Linked DNA regions of Neurospora crassa OR74A. Each later gene encodes a partner of the first gene's protein in a complex. Links are inferred from orthologs where the notes say so. Each region holds a gene or a part of one and is shown on either strand. Other genes may lie near its edges. The genes, in order: NCU05288, ypt-1 and NCU06404.

Region 1 (4,397 bases):
CTCTCTGTCTCCGACGAACCCCTCCCCGAGCCTGTCCCGCGCGAGGAGCTGCCCCCGATCCAAGTCGACGAGAACCACGGCCTGTGGGACTTCTTTTACGACCGTGAGACCGTCGCCATGGCACCCCTCGAGCACACCAAGCACGGCCGCGCCTGGACCGTTTCCGAGCTGCGCAAGAAGTCGTGGGACGACCTGCACCGGCTATGGTGGGTCTGTGTCAAGGAGCGCAACCGCATTGCGACGGCGAACTGGGAGCGCACAAAGAGCGAATTGGGTTTCGGTCTTGCTGAGGCCAATGAGCGTGACCGCAATGTAGGTGGATGACACAGGAAGGAGGAAGGCCCATTTACTAGGTTACAGCAGAGAAGCTGACAATGGTTCTCCTTTGATTTTTCTAGGTCAAGCAAACGATGCGCGGAATCAAGCATGTGCTCACCGAGCGCTTCTATGCTTGGGAGGATGCAGTCAAGCTGGCCGAGCAGGACCCGGAGATCGACCTGTCCAACCCCGAGAACCCCTACACGCCTAGCACATTCCTCGAGGCGGAAGAGACGGCGGAGGGCGCCGAGGCCAGCGAGACGCAATCCACCACCACAGAAATCGACCCAACAACGATACCATCATCCAAGTCCCAAGCCGAAGCCCCCAGGGTATGAAGAGAGGGAAGCGGTCCCAAATGAACCAGACGGGCGAACGGTCGTGAAGGTACCCTTGCGGTAAGAGGACGAGGGGGGGAAAACAGTCACGATACCCGTTTTCCCAAAACAAACCACCACACATTTTTGCAACCTGTATCGATAGTGTAACGAGCATCATATGTGTTCACTGTACAACAGCCAAATTCAACCCGGACAGGCCCTGTTTCTAAAGAGGGAAGGACATGGGCCTGGGAGATTTTCATGAAGAAGCCAACGAAGCAAAAACAAAAAGCCCCATGGGGTTCATGGGAATGGGTGTCCCATATGGATTAGGCGGTCCCTGGTGAATAGTGATGGGCCGAACAACCGAGATCTGGGGTGCGTGAATCTCTGTATACCAACATCTCGCTTAGGACATGTCTAGATTTCCACGGTAGCTGGGGAGATCATCATCGGCGCCAACCTGGACAGGCGAGACCATGGAGAGGTCAGGAGGAAGGGGCATGGCGGGATAGACGAGACAAAGCTCGTTTCCAAGTCCAATTTTTAGATACAAAATGGCGAGTGGTAGTGTACATATATCAGAATGATATATATATGGATCTCTATATATACATATCAATCATCGTTGCGGGGACCAGATGAAGCAAGCCAGGGTTCTGTTCATCAGATCAGTGAACGGTCTTCATGTCTTTGAACATCAAATCATTAGCGAGCCCGAGTCCCACCAAGGGGGACATTAGGGGGACATTACTTTCTTGGCTCCGGTCTAGCTCAAAGAAGCTCAAAGCGGGGTCCCGTTCGCGCCCCTCATTGTACGACTCCCCCACTTCCTACCACGACGGTGACGAACCAGAGGCCGGCCATCTGCTAGAGGTACCACAACTGGCTGGCCGGCAGCAAGAAGCCTGGCCTCCATGGGCTGGGCTACCTAGGTAGGGGAGACCGCCTACGAGACCGCCCACCCAAACCGGAGCCCCGAGGAGACACGACCATGCATTGGACATGCCCCCTACTTTCATCAAAGAGGTGTCTGTTTGTCTCTCAATGGTTTTGAATGGTGGTTGAAGACTGACAGCCTGGCGACGATGGACATGATCAGAGCAAACTGAATGGATCATATGGAGTGCCGTGACGGAGACCTGACCTGGACCCATGGCTGACAGCTTCCTGCACCTGCACACCGTACTTGCAACAGGTGGAAGCTGCTGTCAGTCGCAGGCGGTGCCAGCAATGCAGCGTGTGTGCAGGCAGTGGCAGCAGCCCAGCGGCGGCAGTGCGGCCCCAGTCCGTCCGTCAACGCCCCGTCCGTCGTCGTCCCTTGTCCCCTAGGTAGGTAGTAACCAGGTATGGACACACTAACGTGACAGACCGACGGGACGCCGCCTCCTGTCAGTTGTCCAGTCCAGTCCAGTCCACGACAAAGTGGAAGTCCACCAGCCAGTCCACTCAACTGCTGGTCTCTGTCCCTGGTCGTCCATCATCTCTCTCTGGCGGGCTACCTACTTACCCCCATTTAGTATCAAGTGATCCGCCTTCAACTTCGTTCCTTCTTCCCCGTCCCATTCTTCTTGTTCTGCTTCTTCCATTCTCCGTCGTCGTGTGTTTAGCCTGCTTGCTATATACCACCTACTACCTACCTGCCTCCTACCTACTCTCACCACCACCACCCCCACCACCCCCCTCTAATCCAAACAACAAGCTTCCTACTACCTGTAGCTTGTTGCTTATAGCTTGCAGACCGCAAGACCGCCGACTCACCACAACAACCAACCACAACTAATACTATCAACACCACAACCATGGCCGACGAGATCGCCAAGGAGTACGATGTCATTGTGCTGGGCACTGGCTTGACCGAGTGTATTCTCTCGGGTGTTCTCAGTGTCAAGGGAAAGAAGGTCCTCCACATCGACCGCAACGACCACTACGGCGGGTTCGTACTTCCCTCTCCCCCCCTTCAACCCCCCCCTTCACCCCCCTATCGAACCATGATGAGGACACAACGGAAGCTAACATGACTCCTTGCGCAGTGAGGCGGCGTCGGTTAACCTCGAGACGCTCTTCAAGAAATATGGCAACTTTGCCGCCGGTACCGAGCCTTGGAAGGAATACGGTCGCCCCAACGACTGGAACATCGACCTTGTTCCCAAGTTCCTCATGTCCTCGGGCGAGCTCACCAACATTCTTGTCTCCACCGATGTTACCCGTTACCTCGAGTTCAAGCAGGTTGCCGGCAGCTACGTACAGCAGGGTGCTGGTTCCAAGGCCACCATCGCCAAGGTCCCCTCAGATGCCGCCGAGGCGTTGCGCTCGCCCCTCATGGGCATCTTCGAGAAGCGCCGCATGAAGAGCTTCATCGAGTGGGTTGGCGAGTTCGACCCCAAGGACCCCGCCACACACAAGGGTAAGTTCGGCCCACAAATACACTTGCTGTCATATTGTATTGTTCATGAGCGCTAACCAGTAGGGGCGCTTGCAGGTCTTGACATGGCCACCTGCACCATGAAGGACGTCTTTGAGAAGTTCAGCCTCGAGGCCGGCACCAAGGACTTTGTCGGCCACGCCATGGCCCTCTACCTCAACGACAACTACCTCGATACCCCTGGCGCCGCCCCTGAGACCATCGAGCGCATCCGCCTTTACGGCCAGTCCGTTGCCCGCTACGGCAAGTCGCCATACATCTACCCTCTCTACGGCCTCGGCGAGCTTCCCCAGGGTTTCGCCCGTCTCTCTGCCATCTACGGCGGTACCTACATGCTCAACACCAACGTTGACGAGCTCGTCTACGAGAACGGCAAGGCCGTCGGCATCAAGGCCACCATGACCGGCGTTGAGCCCGAGATGAAGTTCGAGACCCGCGCCAAGATGATCCTCGGTGACCCCAGCTACTTCCCCGACAAGGTCAAGGTTGTCGGCCACGTCCTCCGCGCCATCTGCATTCTCAAGCACCCCCTTGCTAGCACCAACGATGCCGATTCGTGCCAGTTGATCATTCCCCAGTCGCAGGTGGGCCGCAAGAACGGTAAGTTTGTTTTGCGTCACAACATGATAATCCAAACAGATTCACTAATAAAGGGTTGTCCAGATATCTACATTGCTTGCGTCTCCTCGGCGCACAACGTCTGCCCCAAGGGCTACTGGATCGCCATTGTCTCGACCATTGCCGAGACCTCTGCGAACCACCACCTCGAGCTCGCCCCTGGTATCGAGCGCCTCGGCAAGATCGAGGAGCAGTTCATGGTATGTTTTTTTTTGTTCTCCCCCGTCATTCTTGCCTACCTAGCTTCTAGAAAGATAACTAACCCAATTTTTCCCACAACAAACAGGGTCCCCCCATTCCCCTCTATGAGCCCCTCGAGGATGGTCGCAACGACAACATCTTCATCTCCAAGAGCTACGACGCTACCAGCCACTTTGAGACCTCGACAGAGGATGTCAAGGACATCTACCGCCGGTGCGCGGGCGAGGAGCTTGTTGTTGAAGGTTTGAGGGAGGGTATCCAGATGTCGCAGGAGTAAACAATGGACGACAGTGACATAAAGGGATATATGGATATGGATTAAGGCATAACATTAACAACATTTAATTGATGGTTTCTCCGTTTGAAAGCATAAACTGTACTACATATCACATTAGTACATACAGGCTGCTGTTGCTGCTGCTGCTGCTGCTTTGTTTAGCGAGGTTTTACGGGCAGTCAGCCAGTCAGCCAGTCAGCCACTTCCCCCTTCAACTCACCCAGTTTCCAAAGCGACG
Region 2 (4,391 bases), on another chromosome or scaffold:
GCTTGTTGATGGTGGTGTTTGCGACGGATGCGGGTGACGATGATGCGCCACTAACTTTTGTTGTTGATGATTTGGTTGGCGGCGGCGGCTGTGATGAGGTCGGTTGCGAATGTGTTGGAGGCTGGTTTGAGAGAAAGTAGGATCGGCATTGGGATGGCTGTTGCTTGCCCACCACACCACCAGCAGCTATTCGTATCCTCGTGGGCGCCGACATGGTGCAGTGGGTGTTTTTAAACACTTTGGTGGTCGGGTACCTGGGCCGACACGAGTGGACTCGCAACGTGGGCTGTCGGAACACGCCGCGCTGAGATGGACAGTGTAAGTATGTATACTATGGGGTGTGTATAGGGCTGGGATCGATGCAAGATAAGGCCGGGTTGAATGCAATTTGCAAGAGTGTGAAAACGCCAAGTGGTTGACTTGTCTCTCTGACGAAGAGTGCCGCACAGCGGGTGGAATGATGTCAGTGACGGATTGGCTCGGATGGTTGACCACAGAGCTGATAAGAGGGTCGGTAATCGGGTGGATCGGCTTCCACTTGCTCACCGGATCTCCCCACGGACAGGGATTCCAATAGTGATGTTTTGTGGGGTTGGATCTTGATCATCAACACTCTATCCATGGACATTGTGTAGGTCAGGAGGCTTTGAGAGCAACCTAGTTGCATACAATGAAACGACATATGCTTCATCGTAATTTTGGTTGTGGTCAAATATCCAGAACCTTGAGGTCTCATTTCGTTCGTACACTTGTTTCACATGAGCCTTATCTTATCGGCATACATATGTAAATGTGCTGGATGATGGAACCTAACTGAAGCTAGAAGCTTCCTAAGATCAGGAGTCCGTTGGACCCGTGAATCAATGTTGCTCCCAAATCCAAAAAAAAGGGAATCATTCATTCATTCATTGATCCATTCATTCATTCATTCATTGATACATTCATTCATTCAATGGAAGCCCATGTGGACACCGCTCAGGTGGCCCAGCCTCCAAGTCCACGATAATAAAGGTAGCCATGGGAACAACGGCCAAAGCACTTTCGAGGTATACCAAAACAAAAAAGTTCCGTAGCCGTACTTTGTTGTCGTCTCTTGGACAGAGAATAACCTGGAATCTCAACCACATTTCATCATCATTGTTTTTTTTTGTCTTTTTTTCTTTTGGGACTTGTTTAGCTGTGAAATGCACATCATCGGGACGACTCCAAGATTGTTAGTGCAATACCGTACATACCGCAACTGAAGTGGGAAAGGGTCAGGAGGCGGCTGCTGCGTCACGTGCATCGTCACCGCTTGAGTCCCCTGTTTTGGATGGATCAGTGTCCCGCCTCTTGGCCGGCGGTCGCCAATCACCCCCCCGCCCGGAGAGTGTGCGGGTGGTGTGGGTGGGCTGCCACTGCCACTCGCTGCCAGCAGTCAGCCAGGACAGCCGAGGGCGCTCTCCCATTCCATCAACTGCCCGTGTTAAGTTGCTCTGCGTGTTGCCCGTTCCAGGTTCTATGCTGCGTGCTGTTGCTGCCTTTCCATCCGCCCACCTACACTAGACTTCTACAATCCTCCACATCATCAATCAACCAACAGACCGACCTCCCACCCCCAACGACCTACACCTAATCTCATTCAGCGAAACCATCCATCTTTCGCTCCACCACCGTCCACCTTACGATACCCGCCTTATTTCTTCGCTGTCCAACTCAACCCAACACCACCACATCGCATAGCGCGTCCCTCGTTGCCCATCATGAACCCTGAGTAGTAGGTTTAATCACGTCTCCTGTTGCCCTTCTCCTGCTCTTCCCAAATCACCGTAAGCCGCCGCCACGCTGCCGCCACCTACAATCATCGCCGCCGCCCGTATCCCATGTTGTTTCCATGACGGATTGCTAACATGTTTAACCTTCAGGGTGCCCACCGCTTCCCCTCTTCACCCGACGTCGTCCCCTTCCCTTTCGCGACTCGACCGATCACCGCCGCCACCACCCCCAAAGAACCCTGCTGACGATGCAACCAGATACGACTACCTCTTCAAGCTCCTCCTCATCGGTGACTCCGGTGTCGGAAAGTCTTGCTTGCTCCTTCGTTTTGCCGACGATACCTACACCGAGTCCTATATCTCCACCATCGGTGTCGACTTTGTACGTCCTGCTATCCTGCCTGCGCAACACATGCGTTCGACCCCCATCAACATGCTGACCGTTTGGCTAGAAAATTCGCACTATCGAGCTTGATGGCAAGACCGTGAAGCTCCAGATCGTAAGCAACCCCCCGGCACTCCTGGACACTTTGGAAATCCAAATTCGCTGACCCAGTCGCTTATTCAGTGGGATACCGCTGGCCAAGAACGTTTCCGTACCATCACCTCTTCCTACTACCGTGGCGCCCACGGCATCTGCGTTGTCTACGATGTCACGGATATGGACTCTTTCAACAACGTGAAGCAATGGCTTCAGGAGATTGACCGTTACGCCACCGAGGGCGTCAACAAGCTCCTCGTCGGCAACAAGAGCGATATGACCGACAAGAAGGTTGTTGAGTACACAGTCGCCAAGGTACACAGCCACCCCTAACCCTCGTGTCTAAGCCACATACTTACACATCAACCAACAGGAGTTCGCCGACAGCCTGGGCATTCCCTTCCTCGAGACCTCCGCCAAGAACGCTAGCAACGTCGAGCAGGCTTTCCTTACCATGGCCCGCCAGATCAAGGAGCGCATGGGCAGCTCCATCGCCACCAACAACACGAAAGCCAGCGTCAACGTCTCCCCCGGCCACGGCGTCTCCAACAACTCTTCCGGCGGCTGCTGCTAAAGCGTCTGTGCCTTGCGGCATTGGTTGCGCTCTTGGCGTTACGGTTTCGCATCGGACGGTGTTTGACGACATGATGATGCGATTGAATGTTACGGCGTGGGCACTGGGTTGAGCTGTGATGCAAATGCTGCTCTAATGGGATCTCAGTTGGGAATGTTTCGGCTCTGCTTCTGTGGTTTTGCGAGGAACATGGGAGGAGACTTGGGGCGGCTTTACATGCTACCTTGGGAATTCATCACACGGTTCCGCGGGCTCTTCTTCGCTTGCCGGGACAGGTTAGGGTGGGGCCTAAGAGGATGGTGATCGAACGCACCGGAAAAGGGAGCTTAATAGTTGGCTCATCACCAGTGTCCGTCACGATTCCTGGCAAAGGGCAAGGGGGGAAAGAGTGGCTGGCTGAGACATGGGATGGGCGGCGGGCTTCTTAGAGAGCTTCCACGACCCTTGATGATGTTGGGGGTGTGTGTGTTGCGTGTGTGTATTTTCGGTCTTGGGCATAACTGAGGACGCGGCACGGTTTTTTTTTTTTTTTTAAACACATTTGTTACTTTTGGTTTTTTTTTTAAGGAGCTAGACTACAGTTTTTGCTATTTTTGTGTTTTGAGGCAAACCCACTGATCTTTCCATGCTACAGCTCTCTCACACATAGAGGAAACCTTTCGCTTCAGAGAGATGACCGGCACATTTACACCAAGAAGAACCACACGTACAGGCACACCCATGCATAAAAAACAAATGCTCACCAGACTTCAAGCCCTTAGCCAGCTCTAGACGTCCTCGATAGTTACTCGCGCTTGATGAAGTCTCTCAAAGTGACGGACTTGGTTATGCTAGTAGAGTTTGATAGTCTAACTGGATCTGTAAACATTGAGATTTTGGACATCCTGCCGGCTGATCCAAAGGCCACGATCAGACTGCTGTGGATAACCCACTCTCCAGGGTCTTGACAGCAGTATATTTATGAGAAGTCCAATCGACGGTCGGTAAATGCCCCTTGTCCCATATCACGGATAGTATAGCCAGCCATATCAGAGTTGAGGATTTGTTGTGTTGAAGCACCCCAATTCAATCAGTAATCGCAGGTATCAACCGCTTCAAGGATTGAAGAGACACTCGGTTTTAAAAGCTTGCTTTACAACTATACCCGTAGCCAGGATCCGACTTTCCATCTCTTGTCAGGCCCTCTTCTTCCCATCCATGGTGACTTTGCCTGCACGCTATACGTATCTCTACCTACGTTTTCCCATATCCACTGACCCCGGGACTCTTCGCCCTGCGTTGATGATAGACTAACAGCAGCATAATAGTGAGTGAGTAAGTGAGTAAGTGAGTAAATGAGTACCCAAGTGAGTCAAATGAACTTGTTGCGTTTCAACACTTCTCTTCTCTTTGCTTTCCATTCTTTGCAGTGATTTACCCCAACTTTTTTTTTTTCTTCTTCTTCTTCTTTCCTTCCCGGTAATCCTCCCAAGCTTACCCCCGTACTTCATTACAACAAGCATGTACCTGTACCTGTACTTGTAACCGTTTGTTGAACATCAGAGGTAGAGGTTTCTCCCGAAAGAGTGAAGAGAAGAAGAAG
Region 3 (4,397 bases), about 2.8 Mb from region 1:
TCTTTGGGTTTGTCGGTCTGGCGCCCGGGGTTGTTGGTAAGTTATTTTGCTCGACTCTTGTCTGAGAAACGTTGAATGCCACTGCTAACTCTCAAATACAGTCTCCATCGGCATCGTCCAATACCTCAGGACCGTCTTTGGCAGCCGCAAGGGACTCCGCAGAGGAGAAAAGGTTCGTCGTATCGTCAGGGTACTCAGAAACATGGACAGAATCCTGGCTGCGGGCGCTACCAATCCCAAGGGCGGGCTCAAGTACAAGGACCGCGGGCTGTTGCTTTGCGAGGCGCATGTGCTGCGCGAACTCGCTACTGAAGTGCTCCCTGGAGACATCCGGCGCGAGTTCCTGGAGGATCTGGAGGATTTGACGAGTGTGAAGAATGTCGTTCTTCAAGAAAAGGCTCTGCAGAGGATTCGGTGGGCATACGCCGATTGGCTGGGCAAGAAATAGATGGCTGTCAGAGTTTCATCAATCCTCTATCCCGAGATCCCCAGCGCGGGAGTTGGTGAATGGCGGTAAGCGTTTTGTATTGTTAGTTGGGCTGTGATGTGATATGATCAGTGTACTTTAGTAAATAGCGACTAGATCTTCCATGATTCTTCTGTTTGTATGAAATAGCTATAAGGACTTGGAGTTTTGAGAATGCACGGGGGAGATGGTGCCGGTGATATGGCAGAGGTGAGCAGGTGCAGGAAGTACCGGGCCTAAACACCAAAACAGAGTTGTCTACTAACCCCTTAAACACGGTGGATACCTACCTACCTATGTGCCTATAGGCGGCGACGTTTAGTCCACGTAGTGTGAAAACACCCCACGGGCATGTTGCTGGACTTTTTCACGCTTCACGCAGGGGCATAACCAGGGTGCAGGGTCACCCAGGGGCCGCCTTTCGTGTGGCGGGAGGGCAGGAAAAGGCTTTGGTGGAAGAGATCATTGGGCCAATATGAGTTATAGATCCATCAACGGATACTGCGTCTCGTGCGTATAGACTGTTCACCGCCCTGCCCGCCTTTCTCACCATGTTGCTGTGAGACCGCCCAGTCGCCTGTGTCTGCAGCTTCAGCTGGCCTTTCACGATACTCCATTTTGTTGAAGAAGCCAAGAAAACCCCTTAATCAACTTTCCTGGTAAAACAAACAAATAAAGACAGCTGGTCTTCTGTTGGATGCGCGAATGAACGGATGGTCTCGTTTGGTCTCGAGGCTCACCTTCTTCCGCGACCTCAGATATTAGTGGCAGAGCTCCCTCCCTGGTTCCTGAATCTTGGGTTGCATTCGTTGAGAGTGCAGTTGAGTTGTCTCTTTCTCACTCCGGTTTCCTAGACACTTTGCGCCATGCACAACAACTTGTCCTTCGAGCTCATCCTGTCATTCATAACACATTGGTATCTCTATCTACTGCAAGGTTGAAAGGGACACAAAGAATGGAATATCAGGTGGAGTTGTTGCGGCGATTGTAGGTTCTAGAAACTTGACCGATTACGTACCGAACAGTCGCGTCCCCTAGACCACGATCACGCGCTGCAATAAGCGTTCTTCCACTAGAGTGGAGGTACAGGTGTAAAGGGCACAGATAACCCCCCATCCCATACATAGTGTAGCCCGCGACTCGGTAGCACTTCAGGCAAGTGCGTCAACCCTCACATTGTACCTCTATGGTGGTGATCGCGTTGCCCGGGCTCTGGACTTCCACTTGCCCTGCGCTTTGGGACCCAGGTTAGCATTGATTAGATAGTATCAGACATCAGGGGCATCTGAGACATTCCAGTTTTCTTGGTTCCTTCCTCTCCACGCAGGGAGGTCTTGGACAAGTGGAAGCTACAAGACCCCTTTCTGCCTTCCCCGTCCTCGTCATTGTTCGCCTTTCCATTGGATCTCCGCACGGCATCGCCCCGTAAAGTTGGAGGGAGAGAGAGCCCAGGTACGCACTGCCCGCAGCCCAGTAGCCGGCCAGCCAAGTCTACCTTAGTGCAGGAGTAGGAGACCCCATCGCGCTCTCGCCTGTTTGTTCGTTCTGCGACTCCTCCTCCGCTGGACTACTACCTAACCCGTGCAACCGCCCTGCAGTTTTGACAGGCCCGTCAACGTCGCACTGCGGACACGCTTTCAACTACCACCACCACTGCATTCCACCACCACTCACTCACTCACCTACACTACCTACCTACAACTGAACATCATTCCTGCTCTGTCGCCTGTTTCCTGAACTGCGCATCGTCACCACCATTCGAGCCTCCAGTCTCCATCCCCATTCCCTTTCCCGCAACTACCAGTGTACAACAGCCCGACGATTTCGAAACGCCGGATTTCGATTGATATCCCCTTTGCCGAATTCCGGAGTCCGAACTACCAGAGAAACATTCCAAGAGATCGAAACGACGGGCGGCGGCGTTAACCCCCACACCAGTTCATCATGTCGAGTAACAGGAATTACGATTTTCTGGTGAGTCTTTCCTTCACCTCACCGCTCGCACTCTCGCGACATTCCTTGTGTTCCCCCCCTCCCCCGTAGTGGGTTTGGCGAGGTTATTCTGTTTCCAGACGCTGACCGGAGATACCGCTTCACGACATAGATCAAGCTGCTCTTGATCGGAGACTCGGGCGTTGGCAAGTCCTGCTGTCTGTTGCGCTTTAGCGAAGACTCATTCACACCGTCATTTATCACCACCATCGGTATCGACTTCAAGATCCGCACAATCGAACTCGATGGCAAGCGGGTGAAGCTACAGATATGGGATACCGCCGGTCAAGAGCGTTTCCGTACCATCACGACGGCATACTACAGAGGCGCCATGGGCATTCTTCTCGTTTACGACGTGACGGATGAAAGGTCATTCAACAGTACGTGAACCCACATTCCCATCCCGCATAAAATGGCATGACAGTTGCGGTCAAGAGGTGGTCCTTGAGGTCACGCTCGAAATGCGATGGATTGGTGCCTTTTAGATGCCATGCCTCTCCATTGCTCCGGATTCTGGCATCAGCAATCTCCCATCGGATACCATGCCATGTATTACCTCGCTCCTTTGCTGACGTGACCTTCTCTTCGCAGATATCCGTACCTGGTTCGCCAACGTGGAGCAACACGCGACGGAAGGAGTCAACAAGATTCTCATTGGAAACAAGTGCGACTGGGAGGAAAAGAGGGCGGTTTCCAAGGAACAAGGCCAAGCGCTAGCCGACGAGCTTGGCATTCCCTTCCTCGAGGTTTCGGCCAAGGCGAACATCAACATCGAAGAGGCCTTCTTCAGCCTCGCCAACGACATCAAGAAGCGCATCATCGACACATCCGGCAAAGAGGCGTCTGGCGGCTCGTCGGGCGTGAACGTCAGCGACAACAGCGGGTCAGGATCCGGCGGCAAGTGCTGTTAAGCCAAACGGGTAGCAGTTGTGTGGCGGCGAAACCCGACCCTGGAGCTCGCAAAAAAAAAAAAAAAAAAGCCCGCTGACAATCACGATGGCGATACGAGATCCGATTTATCCTCCCGAAGTATGGATGACAGCAGTCTGGCCTCATTCAGTTCTATTTGGCTACAGCCTACGTCTATCGAACATGCACCTGTCTTCCTGCGGGCCACCAATATGCACGGCCGGGTCTACCGCATGGAAACAAAGAGGCGGTGTAGGGGAGAAAGAGGGTATCTTCGGTCTCAAGACTTTACTATGGTTGTAATGAAGCTAAGGTCCAAGAGGAAAAGACGGCTTTAGTTATTCTGGAGGGCTCATTGAAAACCCCTTTCTTGTCACTCGGGAGCAGGAGGGAGAAGCGGCGCGGAAGATACGACGCGTGCTCATTTCCGGCTTCTCGCTATTGGGTCTATTATTATTGCGCTCTAGAAGCAGTGGATGGTAGGATGGATAGGCTAGGGAGCTGAGGACATCAACGACGATACGGAGACATGTGAGTATTACGACCGGCTTGATCGATATAGATGGATTGAGGTTGGGTTGGCAGCATGGACGAGGGGCAGAGAGCGAAACGAAACATTCTGGTCACGGAGTTTGGGTGCGATCTTTGGCTCTTCCTAATATATTTCATTTTCTTCTCTCTTGACTGTTTCCCCTTTGTTGTTCTCTTTCTGGTTTGTAGATTTCGTGCGCGGCCCCCCTTATAGCTGTATCTCCAAAGTATGACGATACGACACCCATAAAACAAAACATAGATAGATATTCCCTGAAAAGATGGGGACGCCCTGGTCAACCATGGCTAGTGTAGAGTATCAAGACGTATGACGTGAGCGATAACATTGTTGACATGAGCCACGAATCCACAAGAGGTGCTCTTTTACTCTTTCGGGAAACGAGCACAAAGAACGGGATAGATGTGGTCTGTGCGTTGCTCAACTTCCACTTGTCGGTCCCTTCGGTCTGACTGTTTACATAGTGCCGAGGAAGCCACC

Evidence for each region.
Region 2: the proteins of NCU05288 (region 1) and ypt-1 are in contact, whole or in part, in a crystal structure (PDB 1UKV), measured with the Saccharomyces cerevisiae proteins. The link is inferred for Neurospora crassa OR74A from reciprocal best matches to the Saccharomyces cerevisiae genes GDI1 and YPT1. Residues at the interface, in NP_011062.1 of Saccharomyces cerevisiae: Thr5, Ile6, Tyr44, Gln55, Lys76, Arg78, Asn81, Thr96, Leu99, Ile100, Asp103, Thr105, Arg106, Tyr107, Asp109, Phe110, Lys111, Gln112, Ser156, Cys221, Gln222, Ala225, Arg226, Tyr227, Leu233, Met236, Tyr237, Glu241, Gln244, Ala247; in NP_116615.1 of Saccharomyces cerevisiae: Thr40, Ile41, Gly42, Val43, Asp44, Phe45, Trp62, Asp63, Thr64, Ala65, Gln67, Arg69, Phe70, Thr72, Ile73, Thr74, Ser75, Ser76, Tyr77, Arg79, Gly80, Asp107, Arg108, Tyr109, Ala110, Ser112, Gly189, Asn190, Val191, Asn192.
Region 3: the proteins of NCU05288 (region 1) and NCU06404 are in contact, whole or in part, in a crystal structure (PDB 3CPH), measured with the Saccharomyces cerevisiae proteins. The link is inferred for Neurospora crassa OR74A from reciprocal best matches to the Saccharomyces cerevisiae genes GDI1 and SEC4. Residues at the interface, in NP_011062.1 of Saccharomyces cerevisiae: Thr5, Ile6, Tyr44, Arg78, Arg106, Tyr107, Tyr237, Glu241, Gln244, Ala247, Arg248, Ala251, Ile252, Tyr253, Gly254, Thr256, Tyr257, Met258, Leu259, Leu282, Arg445; in NP_116650.1 of Saccharomyces cerevisiae: Ile53, Gly54, Ile55, Asp56, Phe57, Trp74, Asp75, Thr76, Ala77, Gln79, Arg81, Phe82, Thr84, Thr86, Thr87, Ala88, Tyr89, Arg91, Asn123.

The regions. Positions count from the first base shown.
Region 1 is NC_026504.1:5,450,202-5,454,598, reverse strand, and holds the start of NCU05288 (rab GDP-dissociation inhibitor), read left to right. Parts: upstream 1-1,989; 5' UTR 1,990-2,440; coding exon 2,441-2,574; intron 2,575-2,671; coding exon 2,672-3,045; intron 3,046-3,120; coding exon 3,121-3,663; intron 3,664-3,726; coding exon 3,727-3,881; intron 3,882-3,967; coding exon 3,968-4,159; 3' UTR 4,160-4,397. Other genes in the region: NCU05287 (50S ribosomal protein L4), read left to right, coding at 1-312, 399-656. UniProt on the Saccharomyces cerevisiae protein: Regulates the GDP/GTP exchange reaction of SEC4 by inhibiting the dissociation of GDP from it, and the subsequent binding of GTP to SEC4. Plays an essential role in the yeast secretory pathway.
Region 2 is NC_026502.1:3,521,218-3,525,608, reverse strand, and holds ypt-1 (small GTP-binding protein), read left to right. Parts: upstream 1-1,469; 5' UTR 1,470-1,742; coding exon 1,743-1,753; intron 1,754-2,012; coding exon 2,013-2,136; intron 2,137-2,206; coding exon 2,207-2,254; intron 2,255-2,322; coding exon 2,323-2,550; intron 2,551-2,608; coding exon 2,609-2,809; 3' UTR 2,810-3,690; downstream 3,691-4,391. Other genes in the region: NCU08476 (hypothetical protein), read right to left, coding at 1-214. UniProt on the Saccharomyces cerevisiae protein: The small GTPases Rab are key regulators of intracellular membrane trafficking, from the formation of transport vesicles to their fusion with membranes.
Region 3 is NC_026504.1:2,623,054-2,627,450, reverse strand, and holds NCU06404 (GTP-binding protein), read left to right. Parts: upstream 1-1,742; 5' UTR 1,743-2,410; coding exon 2,411-2,440; intron 2,441-2,570; coding exon 2,571-2,838; intron 2,839-3,049; coding exon 3,050-3,369; 3' UTR 3,370-4,236; downstream 4,237-4,397. Other genes in the region: NCU06403 (hypothetical protein), read left to right, coding at 1-36, 102-448. UniProt on the Saccharomyces cerevisiae protein: Involved in exocytosis. Maybe by regulating the binding and fusion of secretory vesicles with the cell surface. The GTP-bound form of SEC4 may interact with an effector, thereby stimulating its activity and leading to exocytotic fusion.